Linked DNA regions of Notamacropus eugenii. The protein of the gene in region 1 purifies or fractionates together with the protein of each later gene. This does not show direct contact. Links are inferred from orthologs where the notes say so. Each region holds a gene or a part of one and is shown on either strand. Other genes may lie near its edges.

What was found.
Region 2: the proteins of SMC3 (region 1) and NIPBL purify together in Homo sapiens (affinity purification with western blotting; 4 studies listed by BioGRID, with this or other methods). This does not show direct contact. The link is inferred for Notamacropus eugenii from reciprocal best matches to the Homo sapiens genes SMC3 and NIPBL.
Region 3: the proteins of SMC3 (region 1) and REC8 purify together in Homo sapiens (affinity purification with mass spectrometry; 3 studies listed by BioGRID and IntAct, with this or other methods). This does not show direct contact. The link is inferred for Notamacropus eugenii from reciprocal best matches to the Homo sapiens genes SMC3 and REC8.
Region 4: the proteins of SMC3 (region 1) and USP13 purify together in Homo sapiens (affinity purification with mass spectrometry; 4 studies listed by BioGRID and IntAct, with this or other methods). This does not show direct contact. The link is inferred for Notamacropus eugenii from reciprocal best matches to the Homo sapiens genes SMC3 and USP13.

What each region holds. Positions count from the first base shown.
Region 1 is NC_092872.1:188,252,194-188,259,141, forward strand, and holds the start of SMC3 (structural maintenance of chromosomes protein 3), read left to right. Parts: upstream 1-3,933; 5' UTR 3,934-4,550; coding exon 4,551-4,565; intron 4,566-6,948. UniProt on the Homo sapiens protein: Central component of cohesin, a complex required for chromosome cohesion during the cell cycle. The cohesin complex may form a large proteinaceous ring within which sister chromatids can be trapped.
Region 2 is NC_092875.1:423,986,778-423,994,404, forward strand, and holds the start of NIPBL (nipped-B-like protein), read right to left. Parts: upstream 3,008-7,627; 5' UTR 2,875-3,007; intron 2,242-2,874; exon of another isoform or gene 2,131-2,241; intron 1-2,130. UniProt on the Homo sapiens protein: Plays an important role in the loading of the cohesin complex on to DNA. Forms a heterodimeric complex (also known as cohesin loading complex) with MAU2/SCC4 which mediates the loading of the cohesin complex onto chromatin.
Region 3 is NC_092878.1:9,117,614-9,125,501, reverse strand, and holds the start of REC8 (meiotic recombination protein REC8 homolog), read left to right. Parts: upstream 1-4,884; 5' UTR 4,885-5,256; coding exon 5,257-5,312; intron 5,313-5,654; coding exon 5,655-5,723; intron 5,724-5,806; exon of another isoform or gene 5,807-5,933; coding exon 5,934-6,076; coding exon of another isoform or gene 6,077-6,175; intron 6,176-6,269; coding exon 6,270-6,345; intron 6,346-6,515; coding exon 6,516-6,636; intron 6,637-6,998; coding exon 6,999-7,083; intron 7,084-7,220; coding exon 7,221-7,300; intron 7,301-7,526; coding exon 7,527-7,593; coding exon of another isoform or gene 7,594-7,671; intron 7,672-7,795; coding exon 7,796-7,871; intron 7,872-7,888. Other genes in the region: IRF9 (interferon regulatory factor 9), read left to right, coding at 531-890, 1,338-1,453, 1,557-1,589. UniProt on the Homo sapiens protein: Required during meiosis for separation of sister chromatids and homologous chromosomes.
Region 4 is NC_092877.1:344,608,502-344,615,562, reverse strand, and holds the start of USP13 (ubiquitin carboxyl-terminal hydrolase 13), read left to right. Parts: upstream 1-4,045; 5' UTR 4,046-4,060; coding exon 4,061-4,639; intron 4,640-7,061. UniProt on the Homo sapiens protein: Deubiquitinase that mediates deubiquitination of target proteins such as BECN1, MITF, SKP2 and USP10 and is involved in various processes such as autophagy, endoplasmic reticulum-associated degradation (ERAD), cell cycle progression or DNA damage response.

The DNA.
Region 1 (6,948 bases):
CTCAGAAAGAGAAGTTGGAGCCAGATCATGAAAGGTTTTCAGTGCCAGATAGGAGTTTATATTTTATTCTCCAGTCAATTGGGAGTCCCTGAAGATTCTTGAGGAGAGTCGGTCAGACTTGTGCTTTAGGAATATTAACTTGGAAACTACATAGAGCATGAAAAAAGGCATAAATGAAAAGAATGAAAAAAAAAAGAGTACTTATCATGTGCCAAGCATTAGGGGAACAAAGACAAAAGTGAAGACAATTCCTACCTTCAAGGAGCTCACATTCTAATTGAGGACTGGTGGTCAGAGATATTTTGCATAGGAACATTACAGGGATTGTGAACAGTTATAAATAGATTAGCCTAACCTTTATAAAACAATGGCAACATTGCTTTGATTATGGTTCTAAAACTGGACAACAGAATTGGAGGGAAAGGTGGCTAAGAAGGAGCTGGTCAGAGGATAAAATAAAGTACGGCCAGAGATATCCTGATATAGTGGGCCACATGTGAGGTACTCAGGATGGTGGGAGCACTAGTGCTAACAGGGTCAAGTCTTCCCTGTCACAGGAGTAAACCAACTGGGTCTCAAAGTGGCTGGATAGATAGGAGAAAACTTGAGACTGGGAGACCAGTCAGGAGACCATTTTAATATTCAGGGAAGAGGAAATGAGGGTGAAACACAAAACACTCACAAGCATGCACTGACAGAATTCAATAATTCAGCTTATAGCTATTATTATGCTCTCTTGAGAGATCAAATCAGTTGGGATTCCATAATGTAAATTCATAATGGACCCAATGAGCATGGTTGTATGCTAGCAGTATTAGGCAGCTCTGTTCTGGGGCAAAATGGACAAAGGATATGAACAGGCAGTTTTCAGAGGAAGAAATTAAAGCTATTTATAGTCATATGAAAAAATGCTCTAAGTCACTATTGATTAGAGAGATGAAAATCAAAACAATATCACACCTACCAGGTTGGCTAATATGATAAATCAGGAAGATGGCAAATGTTAGAGAAGATGTGGGAGAGTTGAAACACTAATTCATTGTTGGTGGAGCTGTAAGCTAATCCAACCATTCTGGAGAGTAATTTGGAACTATGCCCAAAGGGCTACAAAAATGTGCATACTCTTTGACCCAGCAATATCACTTCTAGGGCTGTATTACAAAGAGATAATGAAAATGGGAAAGTGTCCCATGTGTACAAAAATATTTATAGCAGCTCTCTTTGTTGTGGCCAAGAACTTGAAATCAAGGGAATGCCCATCACCTGGGAAATGGCTGAACAAGTTGAGGTATATGAATGCAATGGAAATACTATTGTGCTATAAAAAAATGACAAACAGTTGAACTTCAGAAAAACCTGGAAAGACTTATATGAACCGTTGCTGAGTGAAATGAACAGAACCAGGAGAACATTATACATAGTAACAGAAACAGCATGCGACGACCGTTTCTGATAGACTTCGCCCTTCACAGCAATGCAAGGACCTAGAACATTCCCAAAGGTCTCTTGATGCAAAATGCCATCTATATCCAGAGAAAGAACTATGGAATCAGAATGCAGAATGAAGTAGACTATTTTCTCTTGTGTTTTGTTTTGTTTGGTTTTTCTCACGGTTTCTCCCGCTTGTTTAATTCTTCTATGCAACATGACTAATGTGAAAATGTGTTTAATAAGAATGTATATGTAGAACCCATATAAGATTGCATGCCATCTTGGGGAGGGAGAGGAAGAAAACTGAAAACTTATGGAAGTGATTGTTAAACTGAAAACAAATTAATTTAAAAAAAAGAAAAAATAGTATGCATTGAAAACCCCTCAAATTGGTTCCCCTGCCTTTGACTTGTACATGCTAGTGCACATCTAAGTCAAACTTCTAATTTTGTAGTCAAGCAACCAGGAAGAGAAATCAGACCCAGAGCTTTTAATTCCCTAAACCAATCAGTACCTTTTGAGGAAAAACTAGCATAATTTGAATGGAGTGTTGTAAGATTTTGCTTCCACCAACACATATAAGTTCATGGTCTTCCCTGAAGGTTGCTCCTTGGATATACTGGTTCCCTCAAATGCTAGTACTCTCTCCTATTATACTTGCCACTCTCTGAGGTACAATATTTCCTTTGTGGGGAATATTCATACATACATATATACACGTATATATGTAAATATATGTAAGTTTACACAACACACATACACACATATGAAAATAAAAATATACATGTGTATGTATTTTTTTCTCGTCCTTATAAAGCTCAGAAATTAAATGGGAAGGCAGTACACAAGGTAATTAATATTTATTCTTTTAATCATTTTTCAATCATCCTGACAAGTACCACCAGAGCCTTCAAAGGCCTTTGCTGGGGGCTACTTCACTGCCACCTCAATTCATGCTCCACTAGAATGACTCCACTCTAATGCCTGCTCTCTTGATTGGTGAGGAGTTCCAATTGTGCTGCTCAATGCCCTCAGAGCTTAACACTCACTGGACAGCTCCTCCTCCCCTTGTAAGGCCTTGCCTGTGTTTTCTTTCTCTTCCCTGCTCCCCTTAATGTTGTGATTTTCCCATCAGAATGTGAGTGCCTTAAAAGCAGGGACAGGCTTCTTTTTCTCCCTTGTATTTGTATAACCAGTATTTAGCATGTTGCCTGGTACATAATAAGCTTAATAAGTGCCTTATCTATCTGCTATGAGATTTACAAAGACAAATAAGATGCAGTTTGTGCCATCCAGGAACTTACTCCATCAAGCAAGCTAAGATAAGTGAGGCAGCATGGTGTAAAAAGAGCAGTGAGGGTGGGCAAAGCTAGCTTTTACTAGCTATGTAATCTTAAATAAATCACTTCACTTCTCTGGGTGTCATTTTTCTTACCCATCAAATCAGGATAAACCAAGTTTGTAAGCATATAATGAGATAGGAGGCAGTTAGGTGGCCCAGTGGAAATGATGGGGAACAAGTTCTGGGAACCCCCAGAGTTACATCTTCCCCACTCAATCCGGTGTTGGCCTGAGGTCACAAGCCTTTCATGATCTGCTTGTCCAAGCCTCTGGCTGCTCCCCAGCCTTGACCTCTGGATTACCCCGGCCTACTTTCTACTCTAGACCTCCTCACTGCCTCCAGCTGTTTCCCACCCTTGATCACAATCAAACTCTCTTGGTTCTGACCTCCAGTCACCCCAATCCCACCAAGATCCTCCTCCAGACCCTCCCTAATCCCCTCCTCCCATCACCCCAGACTACTAGACCACCCCCAGACTTCTCCCACAGTCTTTCCGTATATAAGATCCTTCTTGTCTCCATGAAGGTGCTCAGATTCTCTCTGGCCCCTTGTCTATACAAGCTTCACAAATGGTGAGGCTTCTTAAGAGTCAACCCAGCAGGGCGGATCTTTAAAATAAATTGTTTCTTCAGAATAAGAGCCTGAGTCCAACTCATTCTGGCAGGACCCTGGGTGCACTTATCTTGGGGTCCCAAACACCCTAAACCTCAACATAGGGTTCCCTGACCTCAACAGAAACAGGAAGACCCAAGGTCAAGTGTGGCCTCGGACCCTGGGCAAGTCACATAACCTCTTTCTGCCTTCAGTCCGGTCTCTTTGCCATGGGCAGGATGGTCCAGCAGTCACAGGAGCGGGGCATGGCTGAACAAGGGAACAAGGAGATCTCACAGGTAGAGGGGTTTCTGCAAGAAGGGATGACCGGGATGGGGTCCCTGGCAGCTGCACACAGCAGGGGTTTCACAGATGCTTCTCCTTCAGAGGCGTTCCCACGAGGCCCGTAAAGAGGACAACGGGTGGGTGAGATGTCAATTTCTCACCCCCCCCACCCCTCCTCCGCGTCAGCCGCACGCGACGATCTCTGGGAAACCAAGGCCGCGCACGTGCTCCCAGGCAAAATTCTCCCCCAAAGTGGCGGAAGCGGAACGTCCGTTAGGCGGCATAAATGCGGGCTGGCAGTCTGTCCGGCGCGCCAGGGAATGAGGCCCGCGGCGCCCAAGCCTTGGCATCTCCAAAAGTAAACAGCGACGCGCCACCGCGCCGAAGTTCCACCTTGGCGTCTCTTCTTAACCGCCCCCCTCAAACCACGTGGTACAGAGCCTGGCTCATCTTCGCGGTCCCCTCCCCTCGCGGTTTGAAGACGCTTGCCTTTAGCGCCGAACCTTTCCCCTCTCGTGGTCGCTACCACTGGCTTCCGCCCTAGAGGGGGGACACGGACCAGCCCAAGCATGTCCGGGAGGAAAGTCGAGAGCCTATTCTCGAAGCCAGGGAGGCTGCGTCCAAGACACAAATACGACTTTGCCACGCAGAGTCCGACCGGAGCTGGTCACGAGTGGGGAAAGGCAGCGAAGTGTCCCGGAGCACCCGCTCCTCCCTGCTCGTGCGGCGACGATGGTTTGATCCAGACGGGGACACCGCCTCCTCAGAGGCCGCCATTTTGTTTGGCCGGGGAAAGGATCGGGGTCGTGGGGGAGGGGTCGTAGACTCAGCTCACCTGACTGGCGGAGGAGCAGCTGCGGGTCCCGGGAGGGTCTTTCTCCCGGGCCGGGGGCGAGGAATCATGTATATAAAACAGGTGAGTCCGGTGCCGCGCCGTCTCAGAGGATTTAAGACAGCCTCCGTTTCCCGCCTCCCCTACCCCCCCCGCCCCCCCCCCCCCCCCCCCCAGCGCTTCGGAGCCCGCTCCCATCCCCCGCGCGGCCGCGGTGGGAGGAGAGGGGAGGCGTCGTTCCCTCTGCCTCCCGCACCTTCGGCCCTGGTCCTTCCCCAAGGTCCTAGGCCGCCCTAAGGGTCCCGGCGGCGGGAGGGGGAGGGGAGAGGGCCGCGGAGGCGGGCGGGGGGCGGGGGGTGGAGCGGGCCCTTGCTCCTCGGCAGACAGACCTGCCCCCGGGGGCGCGGAGGGGCGCGCGTGGGGGGCGTCTGCCCTGCAGGCCGCACTTGACTTTGCCTGTTCCTAACCGTAATAACGAGAGGCGCGGTGCTGCGCGGCCTCCTCCCATCCTCCTCTCCCCCTCCCCTGTGGTGGCTCTAAATGGAGGCTGGTGAAGGTTGTCCGAGCTGCGCCCCAGGCCTGCCCCGTGCTTGGTACGGCCCTGGGTGGAAAACCCAAGTGTCCCCCGCCCCCCTTTATTCGGGTATTCTTTAGGCCTGTAATTCTCTTCTAACTCATCCCTTCCTCCTGGCCTTTCTGGCGCCCAAGCCCCAAACAATCCCCCTTGATTCTGGTGCCTCACCTCTGTGGGTTTTGTCCAGTTCATTCTGTATGTGCCTTGTTAGTAGGTGGTTTTCACGTAGTCTCTCTCACACACACACCTTGTCACATAGTAGGTGCTTAAATAAATCCTTTTTGAAATACTCTCAATCACTATTGATTAGAGAGATGCAAATCAGAACCACTTGGAAGTACCACATCACACCTATCAGACTGGCTAACGTGACAGAACAGGAAGATGACAAATGCTGGAGAAGATGTGGGAGAGTTGGAACACTAATTCATTGTTGGTGGAGCTGTGAGCTGATCCAACCATTCTGGAGAGCAATGTGGAGCTATGCCCACAGAGCTACAAAAATGTGCATATCCTTTGACGCAGCAATATCGCCTCTAGGGCTATGTCCCAAAGAGATCATAAAAATGGGAACAGGTCCCACATGTACAAAAATATTTATAGCAGCTCTTTTTGTGGTGGCCAAGAACTGAAAATTGAGGGGATGCTTATCAATTGGGGAATGGCTGAATAAGTAGTTGTGGTAGGGATGTAATGGAATACTATTGTGCTGTAAGACATGATGAGCAGGTAGACTTCAGAGAGGCCTGGAAGGACCTATATGAACTGATGCTGAGTGAAAAGAGCAGAACCAGGAGAACTTTGTACACAGTATGAGGAATTTTTCTGGTAGATTTAGTCCTTCACAGGACAAGGACCTAAAATATTATCAATGGGCTCTTGAGGCAAAATGCCTTCCACATCCAGAGAAAGAACTATGGAATTGGATTGCAGAATGAAGCAGACCATTTCCTCTTGTATTATGTTTTGTTTTGGTGGTTTCTCACATTCATTTTAATTCTATGCAGTATGACTAAGATGGAAATGTATTTAATAGGAATGTATGCATAGAACCTATATAAGGTTGCATGCTGACTCAGGGATGGAGGGGAAAAAAATCTAAGATATATGAAAGTGATTGTAGAAAACTGAAAACAAATTAATGAAAATAAAATAAAGTTAGAAGCAACTTCATTAAAACAAAGGAAATCCTTTTTGGCTGACATAGCCAGAGCTCTACTTAAGGAAGATATTCTGGATAGAGAAAAACACTCTGACCTACCTATTCTTCAGTAGGGAGGAGAGATAATGAAACGTGAATTGCTGTGTTATGTGTTCCTTTTTAAAAACTTTGTTTTTTATATATTTTAATATTTGTATTATGTATTTAATATTTTATATTATTTAACTTTTTTAATGGACCAAAATCCTTCTCTCACCTTCCCCATTGTAAAAGAAAGAAAAATGAGACCTTTGATGGAAAAAAAATTCCCAAAATGACTGTCCAGAAAATGCTTCATTCTTTATTCTAAGTTTATCATCTTTCTATCAGATAGCATTTTTCATTATGAATATTCTGGAATCATGTTTGGTCCTTGCATTAATCAGAATCCTTAAGACTTTCAAAATTGTCTTTACAGTGTTACTGTATGTTTTTTTCTGGCTCTGTTGATTTCACTCTTGATCAGCATCAGTTCATACATGTCTTTACAGCTTACTCTGAAAATGTCTTTGGTCACTTTTTACATCACTGTTGTAGATGTTCCACAGAACCTCATCCTGTGCTTCCTCTTCTCTCCCTATGTACTTCACTGGGTGATCTCATCAGCTCCCATGGATTTAGTTATCTTTGTTGATAAGTCTCAAATCTACCTCTTCTGCCCTTACCTCTCTGCTGAAATCTGGAACTAGTTG
Region 2 (7,627 bases), on another chromosome or scaffold:
CCCTTTTAGGTAAAGCAAGTATGGCTATATCTGATAATTGCATTTATAACTAAGGGTATCAAGAAAAGCTTCCAACAGGAGATGGCAAAGGAATTGAGCTATGATGGGGATTTTAAAGCTTTTACTTTCTAGTTCTAAAAAGAGCAAATAAAATTGCACATTCTTTAATGAAATTCATATTTAATTTCCAACTTTAAGATGCCCCTTAACATATTTACCATATCACCAAAAATTCTCTTAACTTTTTTACTGTTACAAATTTTGCCAAGGCACAAAACCCAAAAATGTCATACCATACTAAGTAACTCAGATATTAAAAATTATTAACTGCTTAAGTTTTAACCCTAATTTGAAGTATTTCTTGATTCTAGAATCTGGTTTTATTATAAATTGATTAATATGACTACGCAATAGCCACAACAAAATAACAACAAAAAACCCCTCAACCTGCTATTAAATAAATTTGAGGTGTTTACTGTCAGGTGAAACTTTTCTCAAGTTTGCCCCTTTCCCAATATATCACTGAGCTACCTTTCTCTCAGAGGATCTTAAAAAATCTGGAGAGCATAGCCTTGTCTTTGTTTACATCTAAATACTTCTGCAGTTAAATGATTTGTTGGAGGCTAGTTTTCTAACAGATGGGGGCTGGGGGAAGAGGAATGAACTGTATACTGAGGAGCTCTGAGGGAATTGCTTTCAAATTTGGGGGGAAAAAATCTGAGAAAGAGAAATTTAATCATTCACTTGATATGAAAACAAAGTTTTTTCCTCAGTATTTCAGGGACAAGCTAACAACTAATCCGTGATTCTGCTTATAACTCAGGAATCACACACAGAAAACCAACATGAAAGAAGACTGCTTTTTCAACTCTTTCTAACCCCCGAGCACACTTCTCTGAAGCGCCGTGAAACAAACAGCAGGGCTGGTGCGTCGCTCTCTGATGATGAAAACCAACCCAGCACAACCACTTTTCCTCCAGTCCTCTGCTGTGAACTGGGCACGTCTCAGACCCCCAAGCGAAACAGCTGTTCAGTTCAAGTCATAAAGCCAGCCCGAGGATTTCTGCGGTAAGCGCTTTGGGGGGGTGCGTGTGTGTGCGTGTGTGCGCGTGTGTCTGTGTTCAAGAGCTGCTTTCTCAGAATGGGCAGCGCTGCTCCCTCCCTCCCTCCCTCCCCTGCTCCTCCCCCGCCCCCTCCCCCGCCCCCTCCCCCGCCCCCACCCCCACCCCCAGCAGGCCTGAGGCCCTGTTGCAAACAGTGTCGAACAGGAGCAGGCAGCACAAAGACAGGAATGGGAGATTAGTGGGAGGGAGGGAGGCCGGGATTGGGGCTCAGCAGGAGCTTCAGGCTTTTTAAAATTCAAACTGCTCCCTGACCAATACAAATCACGGACACGCTACTGACTACTACACGGATTTATGGCATTAAAAACATGCCTGGGACGTGACAGCTATATTAACTTGACCCTTTTTAACATTGATCCGAACGTTGGCAGACACTATGGTAGAGTTCGACGCAAGCCAGACCCTAAACTCCAGAATAATCCCCAGGAAAGTTACTTATTGGACAGTGACGATGGAAATTTAATAAAGCTGCAAGAAAAAAATCTTTTTGGGCCAGTGTGACATCAGTGAACAAACTTAAGAGAAGTGCTGAGCAACGTTGCTCCTTAAAGACTTGAACATTCAAAAACAAACAGACACGACACAAAAGTACCCGAACAGCCTTGCCCAGGTAAGCCCTGCTCTCCATGCCACTTCCACGAGTCAAGTTTCTTTAATTTACTTCACAAACTTGCCTTTCCAGTTCCATCATACACCACCACCTAGCCATCCCCTGCACAGAACCTCCAGTTGGTTCAGAACGGCTCCTCTCCTCGAGCCACTTCGGACCCCTCCGACCCACTACGGTGACACCTCTCATTACCCAGGCAAACATCATGGGCACACACAGCCAATGACAGTCCCGAGACCTCCAAAAGATCTCCCCTGACACCAGAGGGACGGGACACCCAGGGGGACGCCTGTCCTTCCGAGCGCTTCTCCTCCGTCCCCCCTCTCCCACCGCCCCGCTCCCAGGCACAGCGGGGCCCCTCCGAGGCTCCCTCCGAGCCCCAGGGCCGGGGTGTACCTGTCAACAACTTCCCCCGCCTCCGAGAGCCGCGTTCGGCTCCTCACGGAGCGCACTACTGTTTATGTCACTCGGGTTTCCGTCTCCCAGCCGTGAGCGAGGACCGAATGCCTTTAAAAGGGGAAACGAGTCTCGGTTAACTTTTGCACGCCCAAACAAGTTTGAAAAAAGGCCAACGCCGCGTCCCGGGCTCGTTCCTGGGCATTTCACATCTGCCTCGCTCTAACTGAAACTACTTCCTCCCGGCCCAGGGTCACTGGGGGAAGGAGGGGGTTGTTTGTCTCGCGGAGACCTTTCCCACCGCTCGCCCCGGGAAAGTTGTAAATATAGAGCGGATCGGGGCGCCCTGGCCGCTCCGGGTATTGTTTCCGCCTCCTCGTCTTCCTACCGCTTCTCCCTCGGCTGAGGCCTGTCACTGAGAAGCGATCGCTCCGCTCTGACCGGAGCCTCTCCTAATCCCCGAGCTCAAGTAGATTCCGCTGGCCCGCGGCCTGCGCTCTCCGCCGGGCCTACGCCTCCCCGGCCGCCCGGCAGGAACCGAATCTCCTCCGCAAAAGTCGGCGGGGAAAGACCTCCAACCGCCGCCGGCCGAGGCGCCTGCTCCCGGGGCGGACAACTCCGCGCTGGCTCCGCCGAGGAGACCCGGGGCTGCCGGGGACGGGAGCGGGAGGGGGAGGAGAGGAGCCCGGGTCCTGGCCCCGCCGCCGCCGCGGCCGCCGAAAGAAAGGGAAGGAAGGAATTTACCTGGGCGAATCGGCGTCTGAATCGGTGCGGAGGCCGAGGCCGAGGCGGCTGTGGGGAGCCTATAATCCGGGCCGGGAGGGGGGGCGGCTGAGGCTCCTCTTCCGTCTCCTCCTCAGTGCAGTGAACATGTAGAGCCAGGGGGAGACCAGCCGAGAAGACAAATCGCTGCTTCTTCTTCCTCCTCCTCCTCCTTCTCCCACATAGAAACACTTACAAACACCCGACCGGGGCCCCAGCTACCGAGGGGGCATCGCAGCCGGCTCGGGAACCAATCCTCCTCTCGGCGGGGGCGTCCCTGCCTGCGGCTCGGCGGTGTCGGGCGAGTCGGTACCGAAGGAGGGAGGGGGGGGAGGGCGGGGGGGGGAAGGAGCCCTGTGTGTGTGTGTGTGTCTCTCGCTCGGTCTCTCCCTCTCAGAACAAAATGCCGACCGGAAGTGCAGCTGCAGGAATGACTCCCTCCACCGGCGCCAAACACCAACAACCTCCCCCTCTCCCCCACTCCACTTCCGCCACCGCCGCCGCCCGCCCGCCAGCCCGCTGCCGCCGCCGCCGCCGCTACTACTACTACTCCAGTGCCCCCGGCCGCCGCCAGTCTCCCTCGTCGCCGCTCGCGCCGCCGCCGCCGACAGCCGGGGCCGACAGCCGGGGCCGACAGCCGGGGCCTGCGCCGCTGGAGCCTGGGCCGGCGGCCTCGGCGGCGGCGGCCGCGCCGACCGCTCCTCCTCCTCTCTCAGCAGCCTCTGCCTCGCTCCCTCCTCTTCCTTCTCCTCCTTCTCCCGCCGTCGCCGCCGCCGCCGCTGCTCCTGCTGCCGCTGCCCTGGGTGGGTGTGGATTCTGCCCTCTATCGTAGCTGTGGCCCAGGACCGGGCCGGTTACTGCCGCCCTCCTTCTGGTCCTTCTTTTCCTAGGGGAAAATGGGAAGACCTCAGCTTCGGGCGTCGTCGGGCTTTCAGCGGAGGAGACCCTCGGAAGGTTTTGGGGTGGCTTCCCTCCCCATCCCCCACCCCTCCCCGCTCTCTCACGCACACACACACACACACTCACACTCACACTCACACACACACACACACTTTTCCCAGGAGGGGGCTTCAAGGCCCCGGACACTGAAGGCTGAAGAGAAGAGGACGGGTCCTCCCCGGGGTTAGGGGTCGCCGCTCGGGGGGGCCACGTTTCGGACCCCCGCGATTCCATTGGACTCTCGGGGTGACCTCGCGACCTGGTGGATGTGCGGCTCTTTCCCGCTGACCGAGCTGCACGCATCCGTGTGCACACCTGCACACCCGCACACGGCCTAGCCCGGAGCGAGGACGCTCCCGCGTGGATTCGAACGCCCTCCTTGGCTTTGTCGCCTCTCCCGTGGTCCGCCGTCGAGAGGCCGGGGCTTGGCTTGGTTTCCCTCCTGGGGAGATGGGCTTGTGGGCAGCGCTGTGCCGGGGAAGTCAGGGCACGTTCCGATGCCAGGCTCTCCTTTTCTCCTGCTGGACCTAGCTGGACCAGTTAGCTCCATGTGCTTGCAGGTATTTGGCGGCCCCGTGTGTACCCCCCGCTCAGGGCTAGATGGAGCTGTGGCGCCCCGGGGGTGAGGGGCTGCTCGGGGCCGGCCTCGCCACGGTCTGCGGGGTGATGGGTGGGGGGCGCCGCGGGTCTGGAGCTCCCCCGACCCGTCCTAGACCCGAGGGCTGACCTGGCTGGTGAGCTCAGGCTGTCCTTGTTCCCAGCTCTTTAGCAGCCCCCTTCCCTTCCCTTCCCTTCCCTTCCCTTCCCTTCCCTTCCCTTCCCTTCCCTTCCCTTCCCCTCCCTTCCCTCCCCTCCGCGGCCCTTCCTCCCCTCTCCTCCCGCTTCCCTCAGAGATACTTGTTACAGGCTGCTCACTTTATTTGTTCGGAGGAAGCAGGACAGCTGTTGAAGGATTAATTTAAAGTTGGGCTCAATTTTAGCTGAGTTTAGACCTTGACGTGTTTTATTCCATTTTAATAAATTTGGTAAAATTATAAACAGGTTCCATTATTTGATTTAAATAGTAATATCTGTAATATTTTGTTAAAAGTGAATGGCGTTCTTAACAAATCAGTTACCAGGTGAATTAGAAATGCAGTCCGAGAACCCCGAGACTGAGTTGGTCTCTCTTAGACAATGCTCCTATTCAATATTCATTCAATATTCACCGGAGAGAGCTTTATGGAGAAGTTCTGAAAAGGACGGAAAATCTAGGAAGAAAAGCTCTTTAAGTCCTGCATCAAGATACCAGACGAACCGAAGACACTCACCAGAAACAAGTTAAGACGAGTTTGTGGTGACGACTTGTGCTTGAGGGCCCTATGGAGGACGGTTCGTGAGCTCGGGCAGTTCTATCGCTTGTCTTAGGGGAAGCTTTTCTCTTCCTTAATGACAGACTCCTTGCCTCATTTTGACTAGTCACCAGAGTAACCTAAAGAAGATGTCTATTCTAGAGAAGTCACAATTGTTCACTGTACTGGGGGGTGGGAGGGAATTAAAAAGACCTACTGATAATCTTAAAGGGGCTGTGTATGCCTAATCTTGGTCCACATCTAAGAAAAGCTTACTATTCTCTTATTCTCTAGGACAATTAAAATGCTAATCCACTTTACTTTTACTATTTAATTCTGGGGAAAAAATAGTGAAAGCTGAAGCCTGAATTAATCTGAAGATTTATACAACTTTTTAGTTCACTTTTTTCAGGGCTATTTAAATCACCTCTTTAGGGCTATTTGATCACCTCTAATAAACTTAGGTGCGTCATTTAAATTAATAACAATGACTTGAAAGGTATTAGAGATAGAAATGAAATTAAAATACCTGTTTTCTAGTTGCTTGTACAAAGCTGCTTAAAAATACCTGCACCTAAACCTCAAGCTGTTTAATTTATAGTGTATATATGCCAAATAATTAATATCCATAAATTATATTTTCTGCATAAGGTTCATGACATAAAAAAGATTATAACCTCACAAATAAGATAAAATGGTTTACAGATATTCTTCCAATTAAGGTCTTACCTACTAGTCTTATACAAGTTTTAAGTCACATGCAAACATCATATATTTTCACTTAATTTCAGAATGCCATCATTTAAGTCTGCTTTGGAGGATCATTATGCTGCTTCTATATCCTCTCCTGAATTTTAGCAAGTAAACTAGTAATTCAACATATTTGGGTAATTTAAGTTATACAGTCCTTTGCTTATGATATATAAAATGCCAACTTAGGTCTTCACATTAGAGTACTCAAATGGATCTTTACTCTCATTGATATATGTGCCTTCCAACTACTATAGATTGCAACCCAGTCCAAACCTGTCCATCCTATGTGACTCTTGCATGTCCTACTCTAAGTTCACCACAGGGGGTCCACTTAACACCCTGGAGGGCCTTTGGTGAGGATAAGATTGAACCACAACTTGTCTATCAGTCATTTCTCCCTCTTGCCACATGAACAGCCCATCTTTTCAATGATCAATGATAATATCTTTAACATTGCTTGTCTATAACTCTAGTTTGTTATGCAACTTGCTCACAGTTAACACGTACCTCTCCATTGCCCTTTATTTATCCTCCATTTCACTTCTTTAGTATGCTCTGATTTGTAGCCATACAAATGTTGGAAGAATGAGGATATTTTTTAAAAAACTGGCCTTTTGTTTTGGGGAAAATCTTGAGGTCATCAAAATAATTTTTCAGTTTCAAAGGCCATCGTGCCCACTCTTCTGTTCACAGTTCTGTGCCCATTTGCAGGATCTGCCCTATCTATCTCGGTCACTACAAAAGCACCATGGGCTGTCCATTAAACTTCATATCATGGTCTGGGCAATACACATTACTTATTACATTATAGTATGGTATAAAATTGAAAAATACTTATTAATATTTTCACTTCATGGCGTATATAGCATAGGAATAATGTATCCCTAACTTTATAGTTAGTGGGTACTGGTATTAAATGTTTTCAATCATTGTATTGCCAAAATGTTAAATTGTATCATGAATCAGAGATTCAGAGTTAGAAGGGTCCTCAGAGGCCATCTAGTCCAAATTATGTCAGACTTAATCTAAAACGTTCCTGGCAAATGGTCAGTCAGCCTTCATTTGAAGGCTCCTGTGATGTAAACTGCCTTGAAAAGCAGGAAGTTACCTTCTAGTTTTAGACCGTTCTGTTACTTATGTACTCAAACACTAGGTTCCTACTATATGATAGAAGCTGGGGCAGTTAGAAATTTTACATAGGACATAGTCCCAGTCAGAAATTTCACATAGATCCAGTCATTAGGAAGCTTACCCTGCTTTTCCACCCTCCCCACCCCAAAGTATAATTCTTAAAAGAGAGACCATGGATTTGAGATTAAATCCTAATGTTTATGATACTGATTAGAAATTACTATAATTTACAAAAATTAAATGTAAGTGGCAAGCATTAGGTACTATCACTATTTCACCTGAATACACAGTAATGTGTTTTTTTCTTTCCCAATTGTGTTCATTTTTAAGTAGAGATATTTACTCTTATTGTGTGGTTTTGAATTTGGTTATTCTATTTACATCCACTTTGTGTCAGATACTTGAGTATGTTTTCTAGAATACTATTGCAGAATCATAGAAATCTTTAAAATGCAGACCAGAAATTCTTCCTCTAGTACACCACCTAGTGTTTTAATAGTTTATATGTAAATATCCAAACTAGGGTTCTACAAGGAAACTACTTCATGACCCAAGAATTTCAGTGTCGGTGTTTTGTTGAT
Region 3 (7,888 bases), on another chromosome or scaffold:
TTGATCCACAAACCCTTTTCTCCCTTACCTGCTGAAGTCTTGTCTATTCATTAAAACCCAAATCAAATGCCATCTCCTCAAAGAAGTCTTTCCTCCTCACTGGTAGGTGAAAGACTTTTTCCCCTTATGACTGCATAACACTTTGTTTTGCATCTTTCTGATGCACTTCTAACCTAGAACTGGGTATTATCCCTATGGATATTTGTGTCTTATCCCCCAGGAGACTGTGAAGGCAAGGCATATCTCCTAGCCAAACTTCTTTTTCTCCCCCAAAGTGCTTGGCTATTCTACACAGGGTAGGTGTTTGGGGATAACAGTACTTTTTCAACCTTAAAATTCTATAAAATTGTGAGGATATTACTGTTATTTTATAAATGTTTCTTGAATGAACAGTCAATTTACTGAACCTCTCTGGACTTCCTTATCTATAAAATGCAGGGGTTAGACTAGGTTACCTTTAAAAATTTTAGTTCCCTAAGTGTATGAATCCATCTCTAGTGTGCTTTATTTTATTTTCCTTCCCTCTCCAGATTGCTTCCTTTTGCTCACCTTCCATTACAGTGGGCATTTGGTTGGAAAGACTGAGGTACATGGCCCTGACTGCCGACTCATAGCCAAACCTTCAGGAACCCAGAATAGCATAGAGCAGGTGATGCTACCTTCTGCCAGTGTACTCTCTGAACCAGCTCTCCAGTTATCCACAGAGAACCTCCTGAAACACTTTGACCGTGGCATCTTGGTAGCTAGCAATTCCCGAGGTCTTTTTGTGCAGCGCCTCTGTACCATTCCCATTTCCTGGACTGGTCCCTGCACTCCGTCCGGGCCTGGACCCCATCTGCTACAGGACAAAATATGTGTGGAAGTCTTTAATTCTGCCAAATTCTTCCAAGGTGAGAACTGTTCTACTCTAGCCCAGCCTTACCTCTAAAGACCCTGACCACTACCCCCTCATCTTGGGAGTGTCCTAATTTTTAGAATCCTGCTTCCTCCCTGCTATCAGTCCTGTGGTCATTCTTAGCCCCACTTTCCCAAGTTCCTGGACCTGTGACTGCTGCTTCTCTGTGTCCCTTCACTCCCCAATCCTGTTAGACTCTGGGCTGGTTGGGCTGAGGCATGGTGACCAGGGGATCACATTAGCCATCTTTCTGTGTGTCTTCCTTTCTTTGATTCCTGCCCACCCCCTCCTTTTCTCTTTTCATTGTGTCTTATTTTCTGTCCTTTTTCTTTCTCTCCTTATCTTTCCTCCCTCCATCACTTCACTCCTCTCCCATATCCTATTCTCACTCTCTTGCTCTCCACTGCTTCCTCTCTCAAATTTCTTTCTCTCTTACCATTAGGCCTAGCCCAATACCGCAAGGGCCTGGCCCCACCCCCTGAATTCCAGGTGACCCTAAATTTTTTGGAGGAGCACTGTGGTCCTGGATATACTCATAAGAATCTCATCACAGTCCAGGTAGTATCACTATCTGGGATTGGGTAGAGTCTCTGGGATAAGGAGGGATTCTTCCAGAAGGAATGAAGGTTAGACTCACTGATGTCTGTTCTTCCTGGTACAGATGGAGCAGGCCTTTGCTCGATACCTGCTGTAAACTGGACTTGTAGAAGCGGAGTGTTCTGTTCCCTTGGCATCTGTTACACTCATCTTCCTCCTCCTTTCCTTTGACTGTTCCTTATATGTCCTTCTGGTTGGTGGTTGGTGTTGGTGTGTTCTATGAGTTGTATCACTATGCCTGGATGGTTTGGTAAGGTGGTGGGAAGTCCCTGGGAAATCCTAGCAGCTCAAACTCACATTGCCTTTCAGTTTCAAACCCTAAAAATAACTTTAGATCTACTGTCAAGGTTTTTGAATAAAGTTTTATTGAAAATGAAACTATCTGGTTTATTGAGAGGAGATTGATATATCAGGGAAAAGCAGGATACGGTCAATGGAGAGTCAGGAGAGGAAGCATCTTGCCATTTAAAACCTGGGGTTCTTAACCTGAAATCCATAGAGGATAGATATCAGGTGTTTAATCAACTTGGAACTTTTAAAATATTTTGATAATTGTATTTCAATAGAAGTGGGTTCCTTTGTAATCCTATGTATTTTATTTTATGCATTTAAAAACATTCAGAGACAGACCCATAGGCTTCAGTGGACTACCATAATACACACAGAAAAGTTAAGAACCCTTTATTTAAACCAAGGGTGGGGAATCTGCGGCCTTGAGGCCACATGTCCTCTGGGTCCTCAAGTGTGGCCCTTTGACTGAATACAAACTTCACAGGATTTTTGTTAAGGATTTTCTTATATGTTATTTTTATATTAATATATAAACATATTTATAAATATATATTTGTAAATTGTATTAATATACAAAATCCTTTTATTAAGGGGATTTATTCTGTGAAGTTTGGATTCAGTGAAAAGGCCACACTTGAGGACTTAGAGGGCCGCATGTAGCCTCGAGGCTGCAGGTTCCCCAACCTTGATTTATATTCTTATCTACTAGGGTTCTCTTCTGGGTCACCCCTTCCCCTCACCCCAATCACATCTCATATTTCTGTATTCACAGAGGTCCTTGGGACTGACCCTGTACACATCACAGTCCATACAAGCCGCTAAAGACCAAAGTGGGCAGGTCATGTTCCCAGAGAGGTAGGTCAGGGGATAAGTTCTAGCCACAAAAATAGGTGTGCTGGTCTTCTGTAAAAGTCAGTTAGTCAATATATATTTAAGTCCCTACTATGTGCTTATTGCCAAGGATCAAAAAAAAAGGCAAGAGACAGTTCCTCCCTGGGCTCTAAAGGAGCTTTACAGCCTAACAGGGGAGTCAGGAGGCAAACAGCTGTGTATAAAGAAGCTATCCATAGGACAAATTAATAATCAGTAGAAGGAAGGTATTAGAATTAATTAGAATTAAGGAGAATCAAGAAAGGCTTCCTGTTGAAAGCAGGAGGAAAAGATAAAGATGAAAAGAATTCCAGATGTGGATGACAGCCAGTGAAAAAGACCCAAGTCAGGAGATAAACTACCTTCTGCAAGGAGGCCAGGGTCACTGGATCACAGACTATTGGAGGGCATAATATGGAAGGAGACTGGAAAGAGAGGAAGGGCTTTCCGTATCAAACAGGATTTTACATTTGATCCTGGAGGTGATGGGGAGCCACTGGAATTTCCTAAGAGAGGGGAGGAGTGACATGGCCAGAACTGCGTTTTAGGAAGGCAGTGGAGGAAAGCCTTGGGGCAGTAAGGCCAACCAGCAGACTATTGCAATAGTCCATGTCTCCTGCACTGGGTGCTGAGGACGTGCACTGGGGTGATGACATCGTCTGAGGAGAGAAGGGAAGAGATGTTATGGTGATAAAAATAACCCAGTCTTGGGTAAGAGTGAGGAGTCATGGGGAGCACCTAGATTCTGAACCTGGGTGACTGGGAGGATGGTAATGCCCTCAGCAGTAATAAAGAAGTCAGGAAAAAGGAAGAGTTTGGAGGAAAAGATAATGTTGAGTGTAAGCTATCTATGGAACAACCAGTTCAATATGTCCAATAGGCTGGAGATCAAATAAAAAAGATGGGCTTCCAGTGAAGGAGTGAAGAAACATGCCTTTCCTTTCTTTGTGTGAAACATTCTATCGGAGCTGGTTGTCATGTTGGTTAGTAATGCTGAACAACTTTCTGTCTCCTATTCTTTGTGACAAGGGCTGGCATTCTATGGAGGGAGGAGGAGTGTGTTTGCAAATGAAAGTAATGTAAAAATAAATCAATTAAAATAAGAGGGGAGAAGAAAAAGATAAAGTGATCATGTGTTGAGAGGGAGGCACAGATGACACGTTCCATCGGTATCCTCTCCATGTCAAGAGAGCCTGAGGAAGGAGCCCAGTATGTTGAGTGGGCTCTGGGTCAGAATTATGGAAGGATATGGGCATAAATTACACAGGAGGCAAAAGTTGGGTTTGATCTACATCCCTGGAATACCCACGTGGATGAAGTCACAGAGGCCCTGGAAGACGGGAGTACAGACACGACATGAACTGACACACCAGGAATGGGTTAAAATTCCACGCGGGCTTCTTTCTCTCCTTCGCCCTGTCCCACTGACCTTGAGCTCATCCCCGTGTCTAGGTCAGTTACAAGGCTCCTCATCTGGCTCTGTACTGTTACTTTGTTTCATTTCTACGTCAGTTTCAGAAAGTTACCAACCGAAGGATTACGCAAAGGTCAGGACTCATCGTGCATGGGATGAGTTAGAGCCCCACCCTGGGGCCTGCATCATGCTGGACTCCGCAGGGTCTCAGAACCTTGCAGATTTGGTCTCTGAGGGGGGGCCAGCCTTGCCCACTGCTGAGGACGGGCCAGAACGTTGAATCCCTGGAGCCTGACAGAGTTGGCTCCTTCCATGACACGTTTGGGTGGATGGCTTGGGGACTGAACACGGCGCGGGGGTCTCAGTAATCCTGAAATGAGTCCTGCCGTGGGGTGACTGGAAGGGCACGAAGCCGGGTCCCAGGGGCCACCCACGGATGCATCCCATCGGCCTTCGCTTCCCTATTGGCTGAGAAGGATTTGTTACCAGGGAACAGTTCCCCGAGGCGCTTATTGGTCAGGCAGGACTCTTCCCCAGACTACTGTCACTAGGCGTTGGTGGGGAAGGAGGAAGGCAAGAGCAGACGCTGATTGGTCGCCCCGCTTAATCCGGCCCCCCCGAGGAGCGTTTCTGATTGGCCACCACGCTGTCCCGGGCTGCGGGTGCCCGGCCGCTGAGAGGAGGAGGGGCAGGTCTAGAAGCTCCGGGAGAAGCGAGCGCTGCCTCTCGACATCTTTGCCTGATTGGCCCTTGGCGGGAGGGCCGCCATCCAATCAGGAGAGGCCAGAGAGGGAGGGCGGGGCCCCTGCGGCCGGCATGCATCCATCCATCCATCCATCCATCCATCCATCCATCCAGCGGCCTGGCAGGACGGGGCGTCTCGCTGCGTGTGTGCCCACGCTCCCGGACACCCAAGCCCGGCTCCAGCCTGCCCGGCCCCGCTCGTCTCCCGGTCCTCCCCACAGCTACGTTGCTGTGTCCGTGGGTAGCCCGTGCACCTGGCGGCAGCCCTCGTCCTCTAGCTCTGTCCCGATAACTCCCCTGAGCCCCTTACAGCCCCCCTTGTCCTTTGCATGCCCGAGTCCTTATCGAATTAGTGGGGAGAGCCTTCGTAGCTCATCGCTCTCAGGAGCCCCCTGGCAGGTTTGGGGGGCCCGCTCAGAAAGGGGGGGCAGAAGACCCGGGCGAGATGTTCTATTACCCGAACGTGCTTCAGCGCCACACTGGCTGCTTTGCCACTATCTGGTGAGAGGGTGAAGGGGGCTGGGGGGGGACGAGGCTGGCACAGGGGTGAGGGTGGGACAGAGAGACTGAAGAGTCCGGGACCAAGATTCTTTCTCTGCCTCTAGCCCAGTGTGACCTGGGCAAGGCACTGACTCTTTAGACCAAAATGTCCTTGTCTGTAAAGGGAGGAAGCTGGACTAAACCTGGAAAGGTGCCCTTCCATGGTTGGTACTCTGCGAGCTTGGTAAGCGGTACAGGGCCCCTCCTCCCGCAGCCTCTCCTGGCCGAGCCTTGCCCACTAGGTTGGCTCGTGTGCATGTGCTCTTGGAGCGACTGATAACTTCTGCTCTTGTCTGCTCGTAGGCTGGCAGCAACAGGTGGCACGAGGCTAGTGAAACGCGAGTACCTGAAGGTGGACGTGGTGGAGACATGGTAAGAGCCCCTGCGATTCAGGGGCTGGGGTAAGAGGAAAGTAGATTCCAGAGATAAGAACCGTCACTGCCTGGGGACCAAGGTGGGGGAGGAAAAATGAGGTTTATTGTTTGGGAACCTGCTGGGACCAAGAGCAGAGTGGTGGGGGGCGAGGCAGGGAGGTCGGCAGTCCTCTGGAGATTCACCAGGTAAGGCTGTTGCCCCCCACAGCGAGAAGATCCTGCAGTATATTCTGGTGCAAGTACAGCCATCTCTGCCAGGCATCCCCAGGCCTCGCTTCTCCCTTTATCTCTCCGCCCAGCTCCAGTTCGGTGTTATCCGTGTCTATTTCCGCCAATGCCAGTACCTTGTGGGTAAGGTGGCGAGGGAGGGTGGGAAAGATGACGAACTCAGAGAGATGAGGAGGCAGGTCGCCTCAGAGGGCTCAGGGCTGGCTGGCTGGGCTGAGAAAGCTGAACAGTGCCATGGGAAGAGACAAGCGGGCTTAGGAGGTGAGGCAGTTTGCCTTCTGCCTTCTCACTTTCTATGCCCCTACCCATCCCACAGAGGATATCCAGCACATCCTAGAGCGCCTACACCGAGCCCAGCAGCAGATCCGTATTGACATGGTGGAACCAGATGCGTGAGTACCTAACTCCAAATTAGGTATTACCATTACAGGGCCAGGGATGTGGAACGTTTCCCAACTTAACTCTTGACCCCAGGCCCTTCAATCTCTATGCCTCCTCCTGACTGCAATTTTGGTCTTACCGTGGCCCATCCCTTCCCTCTTTGTCTAACTACTCAACACAGATTTGGTCTCCTACTGCCCGACCCTCTGACCACAATGGAGGCCCTGGAAGATGTTCTGGACCCTTTCTTTGGAGTGATGGCCATTGGCCCTCACCTTCCTAGTCCCTTGGATATCCCACAGGCATGTATGAGACTGCTAGCTATAGCACAAACTAGCCTCCTCAGTGTTGGTGCTATGTCAAACTAGCTGCCTGTGGTGGGAAGCTAGCTACTCACTTGGTCCTTACTGAGATAGCTCAAGTATAGGTCTTCCCCTATCTACGAGTAAGATAGTACTGTGACCCTGCCTAAACTCCCCACACAACACGTAGCTAGCAGTATTCTGTGTGGGATAGAAACCCACCATAACAACAGTTATTTGGCAATGTACATAGGGGTTGGAATTGGGAGAAAAGGTGCTGCATGTCAGGGGGCTTTAGCATTTTCCATTAAGTACAACAGGAAGCCCATGACTAAACCGTATGCTTTGGGCTTTGTCCAAAGGTTCGACACCTCTTGGAAGCTCCCACCCCTGAGATGATTCCTAAAGAGAGCCCTCCTCCAGTCTACCCTGAACCCAGGAAGCCAGGTGAGCAGTTTCCTGGCTCTCAGGAGGCCAGTTAGGTGGCCAGAAAACCATCTTTCTGGGAGGGGACGTAGGGCTGTGGGACTATGCTTGAAACCCTGGTCAAGAGGAGTGGTACTGACATCATCTCCTTCTCTCAGCAATATCCCCCATCACCATCCTGCCTCCTGAAACCATCACTCTTCGGGAGGCAGAGCCAATCCGCGTGCTGCACATTGAGGTGAGCAGGATTCTGGAAATGAGGGCCTAGAAATGGAGGGCAATCATCTCCCTTCCCTCAACTTGAGAGGAGACAGGTCTTGAACTCCACAAGCACGTCCTCCCGCCCATGAACCGGCTATTTCTAGTTCAAGCTTGGAACTAGTCCCAATTGGTGTCTACTTGACTCTCCCTTCCCTGCAAATGTGCCTATTTTGCCCACGGAAGAAATGCATTCATCTCCACAGGACGAGCTGGACCTACCAGAAATCTCCCATCGTGACCTAGACCTGCTGATGGCTGCAGAGGAGGAAGGTATTTTGTCTGAGGAAAAGGCCACAATCCACCCACCCTGGGAGCCCCTCAAGCCCAAAGTACCTCATGTCCCAGAGGGTCAGCCCTCTGGCAAGGGTAGGGTCGGAGCAGGACACAGTCAGGAGGGAGGAAATCATTTAATGAAGTAGCTGAAGGGAAGGAATTCATCCCACCCCATCCCCTCTACGTGTCTCCCTTTCAGCTGAAGAGTTGGTGGAAATTCCCCGGGTCCCTGAGCAGGAAATCCCCCCATGGCTGTCCCCCACACCTCAGGCACGGTGAGTGGGCCAAGGCA
Region 4 (7,061 bases), on another chromosome or scaffold:
CTAATCCCTGAAAGCTACTATAAATATTTTTGTACATATGGGTCCTTTTCTTCTTTCTTTGATCTCTTTGGAATATAGACCTAGTAGTGTTATCCCTGTGCCAAAAGGCTTGCACAGTTTAGTAACATTTTGGACATAGTTCCAAATTACCTTCCAGAATAGCTGAGCCAGTTCTCATCTCTGCTTACAGAGAGCTGTTCTTTCACAGCTCCTCCAGCATTTGTCTTTTTCTTATTTTGGTCAGATTTTCCAACCTAATGATCATAATAAAGTTATGATCATTATGTATTTTCCTCTATCCTATTCTCTTATACTTTTCCATCTCTTTATTTCCTACTCCCTCTTTATAAAGAAGAAGAGGGTTGTGAGAAAGAAGTGTGCTCAGCATAGGTTTCTAGATTTGGTACAATTTGCTTCTGCTTCCTTGCCCCCCTTTCCTTCACCCAGAGCTCAATTCCAAATTCTTATATTTTCTTTCAAACCCCCTTTTCAGATCCTCTTTAATTTGAATTTTTTGTTTAGGACTGATCCCTTCTTTAATCTATTCTATTTTTTCCCCCTTCCTCTCTCTTCTCCTCTTTCCCTTCTATTTCCCTGTTGAATGAAACATATTGCTGACCGTATCTCTATGTGTGTATGCTTTTCCTCCTTTGATTAGTTCAGATGAGAGTGAGGTTTAAGGGTTGTCTGCTCCCACCTTTCCTCTTTGTATAGACTTGTACTTGCACACTCAGATTATGTAAAATAACTTCTCCTATCCTCTCTCTTTCCCTCCTCCCGAATGCATTTCTCTTCTCTTCCCTTTCTATCAAAGCATAACAAAACCACTCTCGAGATATCTGACTGATCAGATTCCCTTTATGACTCCTGATGATAAGACTTTGACGGAACACAAGTATCATCTTCCCATATTAGAATGTAAGCAGTTTGTCCTTGTTTAATGCTTTATGATTCTTTAATTATATCTACCTTTTTATATTTTATTAACTCCCGTGTTTGAACTTCAGTATCTACACAGCTTTAGTCTTTTCATCTGAAATGCTTAAAAGTCCTTTATTTTATTAAAGATCAGTTTTGTTGGGTACATTATTCTTGATTGTGTCTATTTTTTTTTCCTCCTGGATATCATATTCCAGACTTTCCATTCCTTTATAATGGTGGCTGCTAAATTGTATGTGATCCTGACTGTTGCTCCTCAGTCCTTGAATTCTTTCTTTCTAATTACTCGTGGTATTTTTTTTAAATCTGGAAGCTCTGCATTTTATCCCTCCTGTTCCTGGGAGTTTTCAATCTGAGGTTTATTTCAGGAAGCGACCAATTAATTCTTTCATTTCTTTTCTAATTTTTCCTCTAAAGCTCTCATTTCATTTATTAAAAAATTTATTTTTTTTAAAAGCAACTCTTATTTCATCTCTACTAGATATTCTAGTTAGCCTTGTGCCCAAGCTGTGTTTTTCTTGAAATGTTTTCTTGTTTTGGAGTCATTCTCTTCTTCTGGGTTTGTGTCTTGAGGATCCTTGTCACCATAACAAATCTTTATGATGAAATTCTTTTTTTTATTTTGCTCATTCTTGCAACATACTTCCTGACTTTGTTAGGGCCAGGTTCTGTGTACTTCTGGAGGTAGTATCTGAATTGAGCTTTTGAATGTTGTGTTATTCTAGAATCTCAGGGGCAGTTCAGGCTGGACACCTATAAGCTTTTAGTGCTCCCACAGTGGTCTGATCCAAGTCTGATCACGTACTTCCCTTCTGGTTTGAGCTCTGCAAGCTCCTAATATTGGTTTTGGCCTGAGCAACATATCTATGGACTTGTCCCTGGGTGGAGCTCCAGGGGACTGCTGCTGAACTCAGTCCGCTGAAAGATTTTATTGGTTCAGTGACAGAACTGTAGGCTTCCCTTTGGTCTGGGTTTCCCTCCCTGGTTATTTGACTGCAGGATTCAGACTGGGCTGGAGCATGCTGCTCCTCTCCTGTGGTCAGTCACACAGTTACTGCTTGGTTCTGAATTTGCACCTCACTCCATCTTTAGCTTATGGCCCATGATGACTCCTTGACTTGGACCACCATCCCTAGGTACAGGTCCCCTCTTCAGTTCTCCTTGGATCTGTGGTCTGAAACTGGGCAGTGAAGAACAGAGTAGCCAATGAAAAGTACTTGTTCCTGAAGGTTTCACAAGGTCAGGCAGTTCTGGATGGCTCTAAGACCTTTTCTTTCTCTGTATACAACCTTGGTCTTCTTTTAGTCCCTGAGTTGGAATACTTGGTGCAGCAGTTCCTAACTATACTCCATCCCCAGTGTTCATAGATCTCTCTCTTGATTTGTACTGGAAAAATGATTCACTGAGATCTTTTCTTGTATTTTCCTATTAGGATTTTGGTTCATTTTCTAGATCTTTGCAGAGGAGTTTCAAGGGAGAGCTAAATTGCACTTCTTTCCCCTGCACTACCATCTTGGCTCTGTGGAATTAGGATTAGAAATAGAATTGGTAGTATGGGAAATGAAACTGATTGAACCTAGGCATTCATTTGCCATTGCAAAAGTAAGAGTTATCATCCTAGCTGACAGAGTTTTGTAGGACCCCCAGTCAAAAAGAGATGCCTGCATCCTGACTTAACCCGTTGACAACATCTGGCCCAACTCAGAGGATCCTTGTGAAGAGCCTGAACATCCACCAAGTGCCCTGACTGACTCAGCCCAACAGCAGACTGACCCTTCCAGGTGAGACAGGGCACTCAAAGAGAAGCAGCCCACCTGGGCTGCTGGTCCATTGGAGATGCTGTACTCTGTAAGAAAATGACTCTTCAGAGAGCCATCCAAAGCCGAATAACTGTGGAGCAACTCGAAGAAATCTTTCTGGGCAAGAAAAAGAAAATCCTGAGATTCTGGAGTTGTAAGTGGCCTTAGTTACCTATGGCTCATCACCACCCACTTTAAGTTCTGCCCATATTTCCCTTTCCTGGAATCTGGGTGTGTTTGTGGGAGAGCAAGCCCCTGGTGATTGGAGGGAATGCTTATAACTACTGTCCTTGCTGTGCTATTATCTTTACTGAAGACCAGACCAGACTCTACTTGCTAATTAAGGTGACCTCTCTGCCACCCCTCCCCCCCCATAATCTATACTACAATAGCAACCCATAGAGTTACCCTTAAAACTCTGGGAATAGCAAAGCCCACACTTCCGGGGCCCTAAACTAGCGTCGGTGTGAGTGAGCCCTACAGTGTGTGTCATGTATGAGGTAGCCTCGATTGAGAAGTCACTGCAGCTCTGAGACTGAATATTCCCCTCTGTAAAATGAGGGAAATAGGAATAGGGGTAGCTGCCCCCTCCCCCAACCCCAGGGTTGTGTCTTTCCAGATGCTCTGTCCCAAATCTCCCCCTTTTAGAAGGCATCACTAGTGATCTCATCCCAGATCGCAGGCCTCCTTTTTGGATAGAGGACTCTTAGATCGAGAGAGGGGAAATGACTTGTCGATGGTCACTCAACTAATCAGTAACAGAACCAGGATTCAACTCTGGTCCTTAGAGGCCTAGATCCAGGGTTCCTTCACGCTACCTCTCAATTGACCCTCATTTATTTTTCAGTCAAAGTCCCGCAAAGTTCTCAGGGCACCTCCTTTCCCCTCGTATTTAGATGCTCTTCTGTGGAGTTTTAGAGAGTGGAGTTGTCTCTTCTGTAGAATGAGGGGGTGGACGAGCTGACCTCTGAGGTCCCTGCCAGCTCCGGGCTCTGCTTCTGTCACTTTCCCTTCTCTAGGCCTTATTTCCCTCTTCTGTGAAAGGAGGGAGAGGAGGGGAAATGGGACCAATTGGCCTCTTAAGTCTCTTCCAGTCTTGGTCTCTAGGAAAAGGGCTAGACTAGACTATGAGTCCTCACAGGCCAATCCCGGCATACGAGGAAGGGGCCGGATTGAGAGCCCCCACCCTCGTGGCCTCTTCCTTCTCCGGCTCCTTCCCCACCACCTTTCTCTCCTTGGGCTCCCTGTCCTTTCCCGGACTGACCCTCCCTGGCGGCCCCTGTCTTCCGCCCCCGCCCCTCTCCTCCAGGCTCGGGGAGCAGATGCGCCCCCTCCCCTCTCCTCCCCTCCTTTCTCCTCCCCTCCTCCCCCTCTCCCCTTCCCTCCCCATCCCTGCCCCTCCTGCCGCTGCCGCCGCGGCCGCTGCAGCTGGTGATGCGATTCGCCATTGGATTAAAAATAGCCTGGTCCCCCCTCCCTGCTCTCCCGCGCCCCGCCCCGCCCGGGCTCTGGCCGCCTCGCACCGTCCGCCTGCCCCCGTCTGCTCGGCCGCCCGGGCCCCGCAGCCCCGCTGCCCTGCCTCCGCCTCCTCCCGCTCCCGTGCCGGTGCCACCGCGGCCACCGCCTCCTCGTCCTCGTCGTCCTCCTCCCGCGCCCGGCCCCCGCGCCCGCCCTCCCTCCGGCCCTCCCGCGCGCGCGGAAGCATGCAGCGGGCCGCCCTGTTCGGCAGCCCCGGCGGCGGCCCCGGCGGCGGCAGCGGCCCGGGTCCTGGCCCTGGCCCCGGGAAGATGGCTGCAGGAGACCTCGGGGAGCTACTGGTCCCTTACATGCCCACCATCCGCGTCCCCAGGTCCGGCGATCGCGTCTACAAGGCGGAGTGCGCCTTCTCCTACGACTCTCCGGTGAGTGCTGGCCAGGCGCGGGCTGGGCGGTGGGGGGAGGTGGACGCGGGGTGAGAGGTGGGGGGCTCTGCCCGAGAGAGCCAGCCCTCGCTGGGAGCCAGGCAGCGGGGCGCCCCTCCTCCCGCTCCGGCCCCGATCACACTTGGTGATGGTGCACAGTGCACCCACCGCGCGCATCCACTTTGGGGAGCTTTGGAACTGAGCACCCGCCCCTCCAAGTCCCCAAGCTTGGGCTGCGGGAGCCAGGGAGCTGCTGCCGGGAGCTCTCCTTCCGATCCAGCAACTCTAGCGCCCTTCCTGCAGTTGGCTTTCCAGGCTGGAGTTTGGGGCCCCCCTCACCCACCTCCCAATTCGGCCCCAACCCGATGAACCCTCCCAAGTGCACAGTCTGCCCCCGGCCCCCAGGGCTGTAGGAAGTGGATAGCACCCGGACACACACAAGCAGCACCTTCTTTTTCTGGGACTGGCGATTCTGTTTAGGGATTCCTAGTCTCTGGACCAGCCCTTCAGAGTTCTGAATTCTTCCGTGATTTTGGTGGTTCCCCTCCACCCCCCTCCCCTTGCTTCCTTTCTGAATGACAGGAAAAAACAGTGCCTTGGCACAAGTAGTTCTAAGGTTCGAGTGCATCGTGATTACTTTTACTAAACTTCCTTCTCCCCTTCCCCCCCAACGTGAAGTTTGGGGCTTGAAACATACCAGCCCAAATTTGAAAAACTTTAGCCCAAATCTTGGCCTCAGTGGCTAGAGGAGGAAGTGAAGGGTAGATTACAGTTGGCAGAGCCAAGTATGAGTGGTTGGCTGGTGGCTTTCAGATTTCCATGGTTTTTGTGTGTGTGTGTGAAATATAAAGAAAACAAAACCTTCCAAAAACAACTGAGTCCCCCTTTGAGGAGTCAGAAAGCATTTCCCAAGTCACTCAGCTGTGTGGCGTTTATCATGTTTTTTTGAAGACTGGCTATTTTTACCCACACCCTTTGGAGCTCATATGTCATCCAGCAGGTCTCCCTCTTGCTGCAGCGGGCGGGAGTCCTATTGGGGAGGGGGGGGGGGGGTTGGCTGTATCTCTCCTACACTCAGCAACAAAGCAGTGACAGACAACCTTTGTCATACAGTCATCGGGAAGGCAAACCAGCTTGTGGGACACTCCAGAGACATCTTATCATCTTGCTAGACTTTTTTTGGTTTCAAAGTACTTTTTGCTCCCCGGCTAACTAGGGACAATTCATAGGATCATAGCTTAATGATCTTGTAATCTAACCCTCTTATTTTGCGAGTGAGAAAAGCGAGGCCGGAAATAGTTTATATGGATGCGGATAATTTGTGAACTGTCGTCACTTTTTTTTTTTTATGACTTTTGAGTAAGATCACAGGATTGTGGCTGATCATAGGGACTGTTTTTGGCTTTTCTTTGTGTCCTTAGTATAGTACTTGGAACATCTTAGATGTTTAAAAATTGTTTATTGGCTAATGTACTAATAAGCTGGAAGGGACTCAAAACCAATTTGGTCCAGGCGCTGTCATTTTACAGGACAGGAACCGGAGGCCTAGAAAGGTTAGGTGACTTGTCACATAGCTAGCAAGGGCCAGAGCCAAGACTCCTCTAGAGTTCTCTGACTTGAAATCACTTTTCCCCTTCCATCCATATAAGCTGCTCATTTTATTTTAAACTTGAGAAGTCTTTCTGAGCCTTTCTAGGACCATCCCTTGAAAACTTGCTAGTGGTTCTTTCTTAATCTTTGAGACTCTGTTGACCATGACATCTGAGGCCACTGCCAAGAATGCCATTAGAATTTCCTACTATCAACAACATATTTTAAAATAACAGATGTTGTGTCCCATGTTTTTGTGTTTCTCGTCTTAGCTCCTGAAAGGGTTGAGATGGATGGTGATGTCCATGAGGCAAAAGCTATTGACATGTTATAAAATATTAAAAAAACCGCCAGAACTTTCTGAATTTCTTAGAATATTAACTTGGTGGCAAGGTGAATTGGAAGGAGTTGGATTTGGAGTCAGAGGTCCTGGGTTCCAATCCTAGCACTGCCACTTCTTACCTATGTGGTCTTGGGCAAATCATTTATTTCTCTGGGACTCACTTGTTAAAATGGAGGATCTGGACCAGATGGCTCCTGAGGCTCTTTCCAGCTTCCAATATTCTGTTTTCTCTATTAATGTGCCATAGGATGCTCCCAGAGGAGTGTTTCTTTTAATAAAAGAGTTAGTTAACAAGCATATATTAAACTCCTGCTTTGTGCTAGGACTATGCTGAGTGTTTAGGATACAAATAAAGGCAAAAAACTCAGGCTATTCTCTGAAGTAGCTTAGTTTAACGGGAGAGACAATATGCAAACAACCATGTACAAACAATATATATTCAGCATACATTGGAGATTATTTTAGAAGGAAGGCATGAGCATTAAAGAG